Linked DNA regions of Bombyx mori. The protein of the gene in region 2 purifies or fractionates together with the protein of the main gene of each other region. This does not show direct contact. Links are inferred from orthologs where the notes say so. Each region holds a gene or a part of one and is shown on either strand. Other genes may lie near its edges.

Region 1 (2,841 bases), on a different chromosome or scaffold from region 2:
TCAAAGTAGGATACAGTTCATATCCTGTGGTTAATAAATAAAATTTACTAGTGGTAGGACCTCTTGTGAGTCCACGCGGGTAGGTACTACCGCCCTGCCTATTTCTGCCGTGAAGCAGTAATGCGTTTCGGTTTGAAGGGTGGGGCAGCCGTTGTAACTGTACTGAGAACTTAAAACTTATATCTCAAGGTGGGTGGCGCATTTACATTGTAGATGTCTATGGGCTCCAGTGACCACTTAACACCAGGTGAGCTGTGAGCTCGTCCACCCATCTAAGCAATAAAAAATAAAAAAACATGTGTGGCAAAGTACAAAATGGCTTATACAATTGTAAAGTGAATTTCGAAGCGACATCTCAGGGGCACAATCAAACCGTACCGAGTGCATACTGACCTGAGTGTTGTTATTGAGTTGTGTGAGGCATATGAGTGAATGCATAACGGTTTCCCTGGCGGCCAGCACCAGCATCTCTCCGGGGAGGTCGCTGAACGCATTCACCAGCACTCGCATTGTCAACATTATGTTTGCCGGTAGGTTGTCTGTAAAATACATGAAATGTACAATATTAGCAATATAAGCAAGCATTTTGAAACATTTTGAAAGTTATTTAAGCTTATTGAACACTACAGGAATGTCTGAGAGCGTAAAGCATGTGTTATTATGTTAACTGTGAATAGAGATGTGATAAAAAATGAAATTTGTCGAAATCTCACATTCATTTAAAAACAGAACGTTGAAGGTGACAAAAAAAATTTTAAAAAAATTATCATTTTAACTCGTACGATATTATTTCTTATCACACCACAGAAATAGTATAACGTTTGAAATCCCCGCGTTATATAGGGTAATACCCGTGTTATACGAGCAACTAAAATCGCGTTATAAGAGTACCGTGTTATAAGAGGGCTTATTATAATTTTGTGAATACGTATCAGGACGCGACGTTTGTTACCTGGCGCCAACAATGTGAGCAGATACTGGACAAAGTTCGGTCCGTATTTAGTGTCGAACATCTGTGCGTTGATCTGTTTGTTCCGGACAGCCAGCCTTGTTACATCCAGTACCGGGAACAATATCTCTGGAAGCAACAATGTTCCACATCAGATACCAGTTTCGAATTATTATTATTTTTTATTGCTTAGATGGGTGGACGAGCTCACAGCCCAACTGGTGTTAAGTGGTTACTGGATCCCATAGACATCTACAACATAAATGCGCCACCCACCTTGAGATATAAGTTCTAATGTCTCAGTTCTATAGAAGTTCCTACCACTAGTTTCGAATTAACAGCTTTGTACTGGTGGTAGGACGTCTGCTGAGTCCGCACGGGTAGGTACCACCACCCCGCCTATTTCTGCCGTGAAGCAGTAATGCGTTTCGGTTTGTAGGATGGGGCAGCCGTTGTGACTATACTGAGACCTTAGAACTCTTATCTCAAGGTGGGTGGTGGCATTTGCGTTGTAGATGTCTATGGGGCTCCGGTAACCACTTAGCATCAGGTGGGCCGTGAGCTCGTCCACCCATCAATGCAATAGAAAAAAAAGATTTTACCTTTCGGCCATTCCAGCATTTTCTTCAATAACGTTAACGTTTCAGGATCGTGAGTGCTGTTCTGAAATAAGTAATTATAAAAAAAAAGTTCTTTATTAAATTACTAAATGACGTCATACGGAATTTTCTTGTTATTTGCAGAGGAACTCTTCATAGATATCAGAAAGTCTATTTCCTAATTTATTTCGGGGCACAAGACAAAGTCCTCAATTGCTTGCAATTGTAAAAATGCATTATGCAATTGTCTGAGATTTCTATCTAGATTGTTTTTATTGCAGTGAGAACTTCTTTAGCATCGTTGTGATTTGAAAGTCGATGAAACGAAAAAGCGACAGTAAAAAGAGACAGACACATATATTCATAAGATCATTAAAGTGGGACAAAGTGAGATAGAAAGCATTATTGTTTCTTATATTCTTGGTATTCTCTTCTGCTTCGTATCTAATATTCGTACTAAATACATTCTGAATGAATCTATGTAATTAAGATATACGAATAAAATGTAAAATAATTATCAAACTTTGAATCACTAGTGATCATTACTAAAACCTACAATTATCCTCTTCCCGAAATTTTACATTCGTCTCATTATGTTGCAGAAAATTTTTTAAAGGTTTTACTTCTACCACGTGTGAATTGCTCACGAGTTCTTTATTATTATTTGGATCAGCCTTTCCCAAAGTGGGCGATAACGCTGCTTTGTGAGCGCTGCGAGCCAAAAGAAGGGGGGTAAGGGACCTAGACAAATTATGGGGGCGTTGTGTAGAGGTTTGGGAGGCGATTTGTATTTTCATCTAGGGGGACTCTTAGAAACCGCTTAATCTCTCGCTATAGTGGTTTTTAATAAATGGGGGCGCTAAAAATAATTTATTCTCAAAGTGGGCAGTAGACAAAATAAGTTTGGGAACCCGTGACTTAGATGATAGACCCGTCTGCACACAACTCAAGCAGGCCGGTAATACTGTACTCTAGAACTCTGTAGAACAAGCTAGAAACTCACCAGTTCTCCTAATTTAACAACGTTCTGTAGCTGCTCGTCCGATAACGGGTTATGGCCGTCGCCGACTTTACTGTTGAATTCTCTTAGTTTATCGTATATTGCCTTTATATTCGCCTGATCAAATCTGAAATAATAAAAAATCAATTCAAATAAATAAATAAAACAGATTCATAAACTGTCTTCTCTATTGAATAGTTAATAAATTAATTATTAAAATAAATAATAATACTATGAATACGTAATACATCAAGGTTCGTTAATTGAATAATTAATTTAAATCAGGTGCCCAG
Region 2 (4,154 bases):
TTTTTAAGTATTTAAGTACAGCCAATTAACATCAAAAAACCTTTTTAGAAGGTAGGTAAGCATTGCTTAGTTTACAGCAATTTTAATGATTGTATACATAGCTCATGTTTTAAATATTTTCATTGTGCAGAAAGAAACTATGAAGTATTTTATTAGTTATAAAATATAGTAGAAAAAATATGATCATGAATATTTCGATTAATTTTTTTAACATTATTGATATCATTAACATCAGCCCACAGACATCCATTGCTGTAGATGGGCCTTCCCCAACATTTTATTAATAGTCCTGTTCATCCTGCATCCAGAGAAATCCCATAACCTTTAGCAGGTCGTCGGCCCATCTTGTGGCAGGCCTACCTATGCTGCACTTTTCAATTAAATTTCAGTAAAATTTCCAGGGGCTGTCAAAGATCTCATCCCAAAAGTGCAGTGTTTCAAGGCAAAATACTATGACCAGTGTGTGTTGCTAATGACGACATAATAATATGGCAGTAACAGACGTATTGATGACATTTAAAATACTTTACTATTTGTAGTCACCAATACTGTCCATTAATTTTCCTTATCACATCTTTCAACTGTCTTTCATTTTAACCAAGTGCTATGCCATAGACTGTTCAGGCCATCATTATGTAGATGATCTTTTACAAGTTCAATTATAACTAGTCAGGTCATAAGTATTGTCACACAGTAAAAACTTTTCTTTTAGAATGCTGGCCACAAAAAAGTTTATTGAATTCGAATTTCGAATTGTTCATGAAAATAAAAATGTACACTTTTAGAATTTTACTCATTTTTAAATATGGAGTGGATGCTTAAAGAAGACCGTGTTGCAGTTATTGCGTTGCATCGTTGCGGTTACGCGCCAATTCAAATTTTTAACAACTGAAAATTTTGAATATAACCAAAAGATTCGTTTATCGTACCATCAAACGATACAATGAAGACTCTAGTGTAGATGACAGGTCAAGAAGTGGTCGCCCTCGGTCTGTTAGGACTCCAACAGTGATAAAAGCTGTGAAGGCGCGAATTCAAAGAAATCCCAAACGTAAGCAGAAACTGTTGGCCCTTCAGATGGGGTTAAGCAGAACCACGGTGAAAAGGGTGTTAAATGAAGACTTAGGGCTTCGGGCATATCGAAGAAAAACAGGACATCGTTTGAATGCTCGTCTAATGGACCTGAGACTGAAGATATTCCGCGCTTTGTTGAAGCGGTACGCGGGAAAAAAATATCGGGAAATTCTTTTTTCGGATGAAAAAATTTTTACCGTAGAAGAGAGCTACAACAAACAAAATGATAAGGTGTACGCACACAGTAGTGAAGAAGCGAGCAACCGTATTCCGCGTGTCCAACGAGGTCATTTTCCATCCTCGCTCATGGAATGGTTGGGAGTTTGTTAATGGGGCTTAACAGAGGTACATTTTTGTGAGAAAGGTTTAAAAACGAATGCAGTTGTGTATCAAAATACAGTCCTGACGAACCTTGTGGAACCTGTTTCTCATACCATGTTCAATAACAGGCACTGGGTATTCCAACAAGATTCGGCGCCAACTCATAGAGCGAAGAGCACACAAGACTGGCTGGCGGCGCGTAAAACGACTTCATCTGGCACGAAGACTGGCCCTCCTCCAGTCCAGATTTGAATCCGTTAGATTACAAGATATGGCAACACTTGGAGGAAAAGGCGTGCTCAAAGCCTCATCCCAATTTGGAGTCACTCAATACATCCTTGATTAAGGCAGCCGCCGATATTGACATGGACCTCGTTCGTGCTGCGATAGACGACTGGCCGTGCAGATTGAAGGCCTGTATTCAAAATCACGGAGGTCATTTTGAATAAACTTTAGTGTCATAAGAATCTATGTTTTGTTAAGTTCATTTTGGTATATGAATGGTTACATAATGAATAAACTTGTTTTAATTATTTTACATTAAACATGTGACAGAATTTATGCTGACTAGGTACATAGCACTAACATAATTGTGGCAGCTAGCTATCATAGAACGCAAGGTAACTGACAGATGCCTGAATCTCGCTTACAACATTTTCAAGACAAGCTTGCATATATAACAACATTCGGACCGTCGGTCTACCGAGCAAACTCACCCGCTCGGTGGAAGATCTTCCCTTCCGTCATTTAATACTTAAGTATTAAGAAGTGCTTATAATGTGAAAACAATTCATGTTAAATATAACGTGGCCTTTCTTGAATTGCCTTCCATTTATTCTCAAGCGCTTAGGAATATTTTGTCTCAGTGTAGGGGGTACTGAGCAAAGTTCTAGTCTCGTAATTGAGCTCTTGAATTGTGGTTTGAAGAGTGGGCATGATACCGGTTGATATGAAGTCGTAAAATGATAAAAATACCTTAGCTGCGGCGGACATTGCTCGAGTTTGAATCTTGGCCTTGCGAGCTCCATTCCTGGTCACTATATTGGACGTTGGCGGCGTTACTTTCTTACTGTCACCGCCCGATCTACGAGACTGCGTCGGCGGAGGTGTAGCCTATTCAATACATAAATTACATAAATCACACTAAAACTACAACTACTGATAAGTACTATTCGAATTTTGAATTAATAATGACTCACCATTATGTTAACGTTTTTGTTTTGCTAAAACCATTTATTTTATTTACTGAAGATACATTGTTATCAACTGAATTTTTTAGCCAAAATATTTTATTGAACTTTAGTGATTTGTTTGTTTTTGTGGAATATATGTCAAGTGCGGTTGGAGGTTGGATTCGGCGACCGATATTTGCAGGGGGGTGCAACTCCCATACAAAGGAAAAGAACATTCAACTAGCGTCATCTTTAGGAACCGGCGAGGTCATTTTTGAAACGTTTTGGCCTTAATGAACTAATAAACCCACTAGATGGCAGATACGAGTTCTGACTCAAAAAAAATATTAGCGTACTTTAAAGCAGTGCTTCCACTTTTAAGGAATTCTCCCTTTTTTAGGGAAAAATAGCTGATATTTTGGATGATAAAGACAATTTAAAAAATACCAGGATTTAGGATATTTCGGGGTAAAAAGCAAAGCCTATACTAGTAACTCTTGTGAATTTTAAAATAAACGATAATTAAAGTAAAACAATGAACATTTTATTTTATGGAGAGAATGACATTAAGTCGAGTTGACAAGTAAAAGAATAAAACAGAGTTGTGTATAAAAACTATAAAGAAGGTTTGATTCAACAGTAACCCTCTAGTAAAGTAAATCATAGATTAAGCCACTGCTTTTTTCTTAGGGATTCCCCAGAATCCCAATAAGTATAATCCGCCAAATTTTTATTTACCTATTTTCGTTGATGTCACCAGAACTTACCTGTATTGTAATATACAGGTACTTCATGTACCATGAAAGATTATCATGGTAATTTCATTTACGAAAACCTTGTAATTGTCATTTCACTTTTGCTAGCAGTTCCTTCTTCAAAGACTGAGGTGGAAAGATTATTCAGTGTTCTCAAATGTAAAAACTGACAAAAGAAATAGGCTTTCTAATGAAACCCTGAACGGCTTGCTTCATAGAAAGTTCCCAACTTTGCCAGCAAACAATTGCTCAATTTTAGAACCGAACAGTGTTAGGTTGCGTGCAGCAAAAGAATATAAAAGCAATGCGTCGACTTCCTTGAAAATTCTAATCCTATAGATCTATGATCTTCTGGGGGCGTTTATATTATATATACCTACATTAAATAATATGCTGTGGTTTATTTTCTGTATTTTATTTATGCTTTCTATATCAAGGATTTATGAAAGTTGTTTAAGAAATTTTAGGGATAAATTCAAAAGAAACTAGGGTAAAATGTGGTAAAAAAAACGTAAGTGGAAACACTGCTTTGAAGTTTTCAAAATTCCAGGGCCGTAAAACAATCTCAAAAAAAAAATAAGTTTTCAAAATGTCGTAACGCTTTAATTTTTTAAATCGTTTTTTTTTTATCTTGGTGTGAGTTATTTTACGTTGTAGTATTAATTTAGAGCAACTTTTAGCTTTATGAGAATATTAGACGATTAGACATTGAGAAACTCTGTTTTGAATTCTCTTTAGACATAACTTGGCTCCAATACTTTTTTCTTCGTTAGCGTTTCGTAAGCCTGTGTAACTATTTTCATTTCTTACAGAAAGTTTATTATTAAAAATC
Region 3 (3,500 bases), on a different chromosome or scaffold from region 2:
CTTCAATTCTAAAGGTGCGATATATTGAAGTTGTTGCGGTGTATCGTTTTGCAATCCCAGTAACGTACTAAATATTAATATAGCTACGCACTACTAACCTGTATTTTTCCTAATGCTCCAATTGCAACTTGCGGTGGGAATATCACCGGTTTCGTGTAAGTACCTCCAACCTAAAAACGAAAATATTTTGTTAAAAAAATTACACTTCATATGCTTAGGTTTTATTACATTATTATGGAATACAATAAAGTACATTTATTGTAATGCCGATGAATCGCGACCGGTTCGTTGTATTTTGCGTAGTGTTCTTATTTGGAGAAATTTATACGAATATTGATTTGTCAAAATTAGAGATTCTAATTAAATGGCTGAACTTCTGACATAGACTTAGGATCGATGCCAGACTTTAAATATTCTAGAACAAATACCAGGCAATGATAAATATATAGTCCGATTCCATTTAAAATATATTGCATACATGCATACATGCATTACATACATGCATAAACAACTCTTTATTATGTGGCCAAGCTTTGAATTTCTTTTCTGCAATAATAGATCTAAGCATTACAGCCGAGAAGAAAAGAAAAATATTGGCGAATCGGAATAAGGAACTTTGTGCTGTCGTACTTTATAGATTATGCTTCTATTGTCGGGAAATGTATCAAAGGAGTTTAGGACATAAACCATAGATTTACTTTGATATTGAGATGAATAACAATACTCACAATTCCGATATTTGATATTGTAAATGTCCCTCCGGTGAGATCATTCAATCCAAGTTGCCCCTTCGATCCTTTCTCTTGCAATGTATTTAACTCTTGTGCAATTTCTAATATTGATTTAATTTGGATGTTCTGAAAATAACGAAACGTATAACCATTTGACCGGATCAAACATTAAAGATAAGACGAGTTAAGATATTTATATACCTTGATAACAGGTACGACTAATCCGTTGGGCGTATCCATAGCAACGCCTATGTTATGACTTGCTTTGTAAATGAGATTTTCACAGGAGCTATCGAGACTACTGTTGAGAATGGGTAGATAGCTCAAACTTAAAGATGCCGCTTTGATGATGATCGGCATGTAAGTTAGTCTAACCCCACGTTCTTCCGCTTGCTTTTTGAGTGCTGCACGCGATTCAACCAGTTTTGTGACGTTGTACTCGTCACTGAATACAAAGTGCGGAATTTTCTGGAAAAAATGATGAATTAGAATGCGGCGGAATTGCTTAATTTCAAATGTCTGATGGTCGACGGCCCCTAATTTAGATTTTCTGTATAACAAGTTAATGCAGACGCTGAATACCGCAAAGGCCTCTAAGCACTAGCGAGATGACACAAAAACCCTACGTATTATACGTAAGGCCTTAGCTTTTTTATATTGCTACGCCGGTAAGAGTAACGCCATCTATCGCCGAATAGTCGAACGAATATCGAAGGATCTAGTAGCACCTAGAACGCTCGAGAAGTACAACGCCATCTATTGTCAGATAGCGGAAACAATACTAGAGATGTGTGGAATATTCTCAATAACTTTAGGGATGTGGTATCGACTATAAAAGCGTTGCAGGGATGATACGCAGTCAGTCAGTAATCGGAACTACTCGAAGCGAAACAGTGAAAAATAAATGAGATTATGGATATTAAGAGAAACATTCTAATATTTTAGTGACGGTAGTGGTTTTTGCGATCTGAGCGTTTATTACTCTGCAGCTCTTAAGAGCTGAGTGACAAATTATTTTGACCTTCACTATAGGTGGAAGGAACACTTCACTATAGTTTGTCCAACACACGAGCTTACCGTCCACCTGGTGTAAAGTGTTTTCAGGTACCCGTTGACATAGCAACGTGAAGCCTACCACCTGCCTTGAAACGAAATGTGGTGAGATTTGATCGAAATCTCAGTTGTATTACAAAACAGATGTCATAAAAACAAGTAGGAAGGTACTAACCACCCGAGCAGGTATCAAATACGCTCTACCAGTAACCATCCAGTAACCATTAATTGGCGGTCATAGTACTCTGGTTTAATCATCTATTCATATAGAGCGCTGCTGCCCAGTGAATTCTTATTTCTTTTCTTATTTTTAATTATATTTAGAGAAAGAGATGAAATGGCGCTGCTATACACTACGCTACTATAAGCTAAGACTCACCATGGCCTCCGTCATAGATTTAACCATTGCTCTCTGGAAGCCGGTAACAGGGACAACTTTATCCTCGAGAGCTAATTCTACTCTTGCCTGCGCTTTTGTAACTGGTATTTCTACAGCTCTGACACTACCAGGTAATACGACTTCGTTCGAGTCATCCGAGTTAATGTTTAAATGAGACAACATGTCTTCCTTGAGAACTCTTCCGTTTCTGCCAGTTGCTTTAACGGCACTCAAGTCTACCTATAAACAATAAAGAAAACAAAAATAATGAAATGCTTAGACAAGAAATTGAAATACCTTTTGTTTTCAATGTACAAATATTTTCGGATGTTCTAAATCAAGTGATATTGTTGTATAGATACCCACGTCATTAAACCGATATTTTAAATATTTTTTCATGCATTCTGAACGCGCTAACATTAAGCCACTTTGAATTTTATACATATCGCACATACTGTGCTATAAAGTCACTTAAGCAATTTGTGTAACACTGAACTGAGTATAAGAAAATACATTTTTTAATAGTTATTAGTGAGACGAGAGAGATGTTTGCTTTTGAAGTTTTGTAGTTTAAATATTATCATTTTATTTCTATAGCGCAGCAGAACTATTATAAGAATTATATAATAAGATGTTGAATTTTCCAACGTTTCTCCTGAAAAATTATATAATTTGCATAAGTTACGTTTTCGCATCGTATGTGCGATATGTAGCGGGTAGCTATCATAAAACACAATACATCTGACAGATGTCTGAATATCGTTAACGACATATTCATGATAAGTGTGAAGGGGTGAGAGTCCAAAAAATAGCATTCGGACTGTCGGTCTACCGAACAATTTCGCCCGCTTGTTGGAAGATCTCTTTGTCGTTAAAACCCAAACTGGAATCAGTGTATGACACTCGACCGTGTAACACGTGTCGCCTGGTCACCGATCTCCAAAAAAATACCCGTTATTTGTGTTTATGACGAATCTAATTTAAGTTCTTTATTCTTATGCTCTTTCATTTATCTATGTATACAATAAATATACTTAATTACATACTTTAAATTGAGCGGCGATTCTTCTCACCGCCGGAGTAGTTAATACTTTAATTTTTTGGTTTTGTTCCGTTTTCGGAGCGTCTATTTCAGCAACAGGCTTATCAGGCGCAACGTCTGTGGGTTTCCCTGAAATAAACAAAGTTCTCGAGATCATATTGAAAATCTTTACATTTGAATAAAATTTATCACACCTTCGTTTACCCTAATCAATTCTCACTAAAACTGCAACCTTTAATTCTTTGCCGCGCAGCGTAAGAAATAACTAGTTTGGAGGTAGCATCAGTAGTTTTGG

Evidence for each region. The genes of interacting proteins can lie anywhere in the genome.
Region 1: the proteins of histone deacetylase 6 (region 2) and phospholipase A-2-activating protein purify together in Homo sapiens (affinity purification with mass spectrometry; 4 studies listed by BioGRID and IntAct, with this or other methods). This does not show direct contact. The link is inferred for Bombyx mori from reciprocal best matches to the Homo sapiens genes HDAC6 and PLAA.
Region 3: the proteins of histone deacetylase 6 (region 2) and lipoamide acyltransferase component of branched-chain alpha-keto acid dehydrogenase complex, mitochondrial purify together in Homo sapiens (affinity purification with mass spectrometry; 3 studies listed by BioGRID and IntAct, with this or other methods). This does not show direct contact. The link is inferred for Bombyx mori from reciprocal best matches to the Homo sapiens genes HDAC6 and DBT.

Annotation. Positions count from the first base shown.
Region 1 is NC_085128.1:4,435,013-4,437,853, reverse strand, and holds part of phospholipase A-2-activating protein, read right to left. Parts: intron 2,676-2,841; coding exon 2,552-2,675; intron 1,613-2,551; coding exon 1,552-1,612; intron 1,079-1,551; coding exon 953-1,078; intron 540-952; coding exon 394-539; intron 1-393. UniProt on the Homo sapiens protein: Plays a role in protein ubiquitination, sorting and degradation through its association with VCP. Involved in ubiquitin-mediated membrane proteins trafficking to late endosomes in an ESCRT-dependent manner, and hence plays a role in synaptic vesicle recycling.
Region 2 is NC_085111.1:17,635,353-17,639,506, reverse strand, and holds the start of histone deacetylase 6, read right to left. Parts: upstream 2,801-4,154; 5' UTR 2,598-2,800; coding exon 2,595-2,597; intron 2,509-2,594; coding exon 2,371-2,508; intron 1-2,370.
Region 3 is NC_085128.1:9,592,937-9,596,436, reverse strand, and holds part of lipoamide acyltransferase component of branched-chain alpha-keto acid dehydrogenase complex, mitochondrial, read right to left. Parts: intron 3,335-3,500; coding exon 3,210-3,334; intron 2,404-3,209; coding exon 2,164-2,403; intron 1,200-2,163; coding exon 933-1,199; intron 858-932; coding exon 729-857; intron 171-728; coding exon 99-170; intron 1-98. UniProt on the Homo sapiens protein: The branched-chain alpha-keto dehydrogenase complex catalyzes the overall conversion of alpha-keto acids to acyl-CoA and CO(2).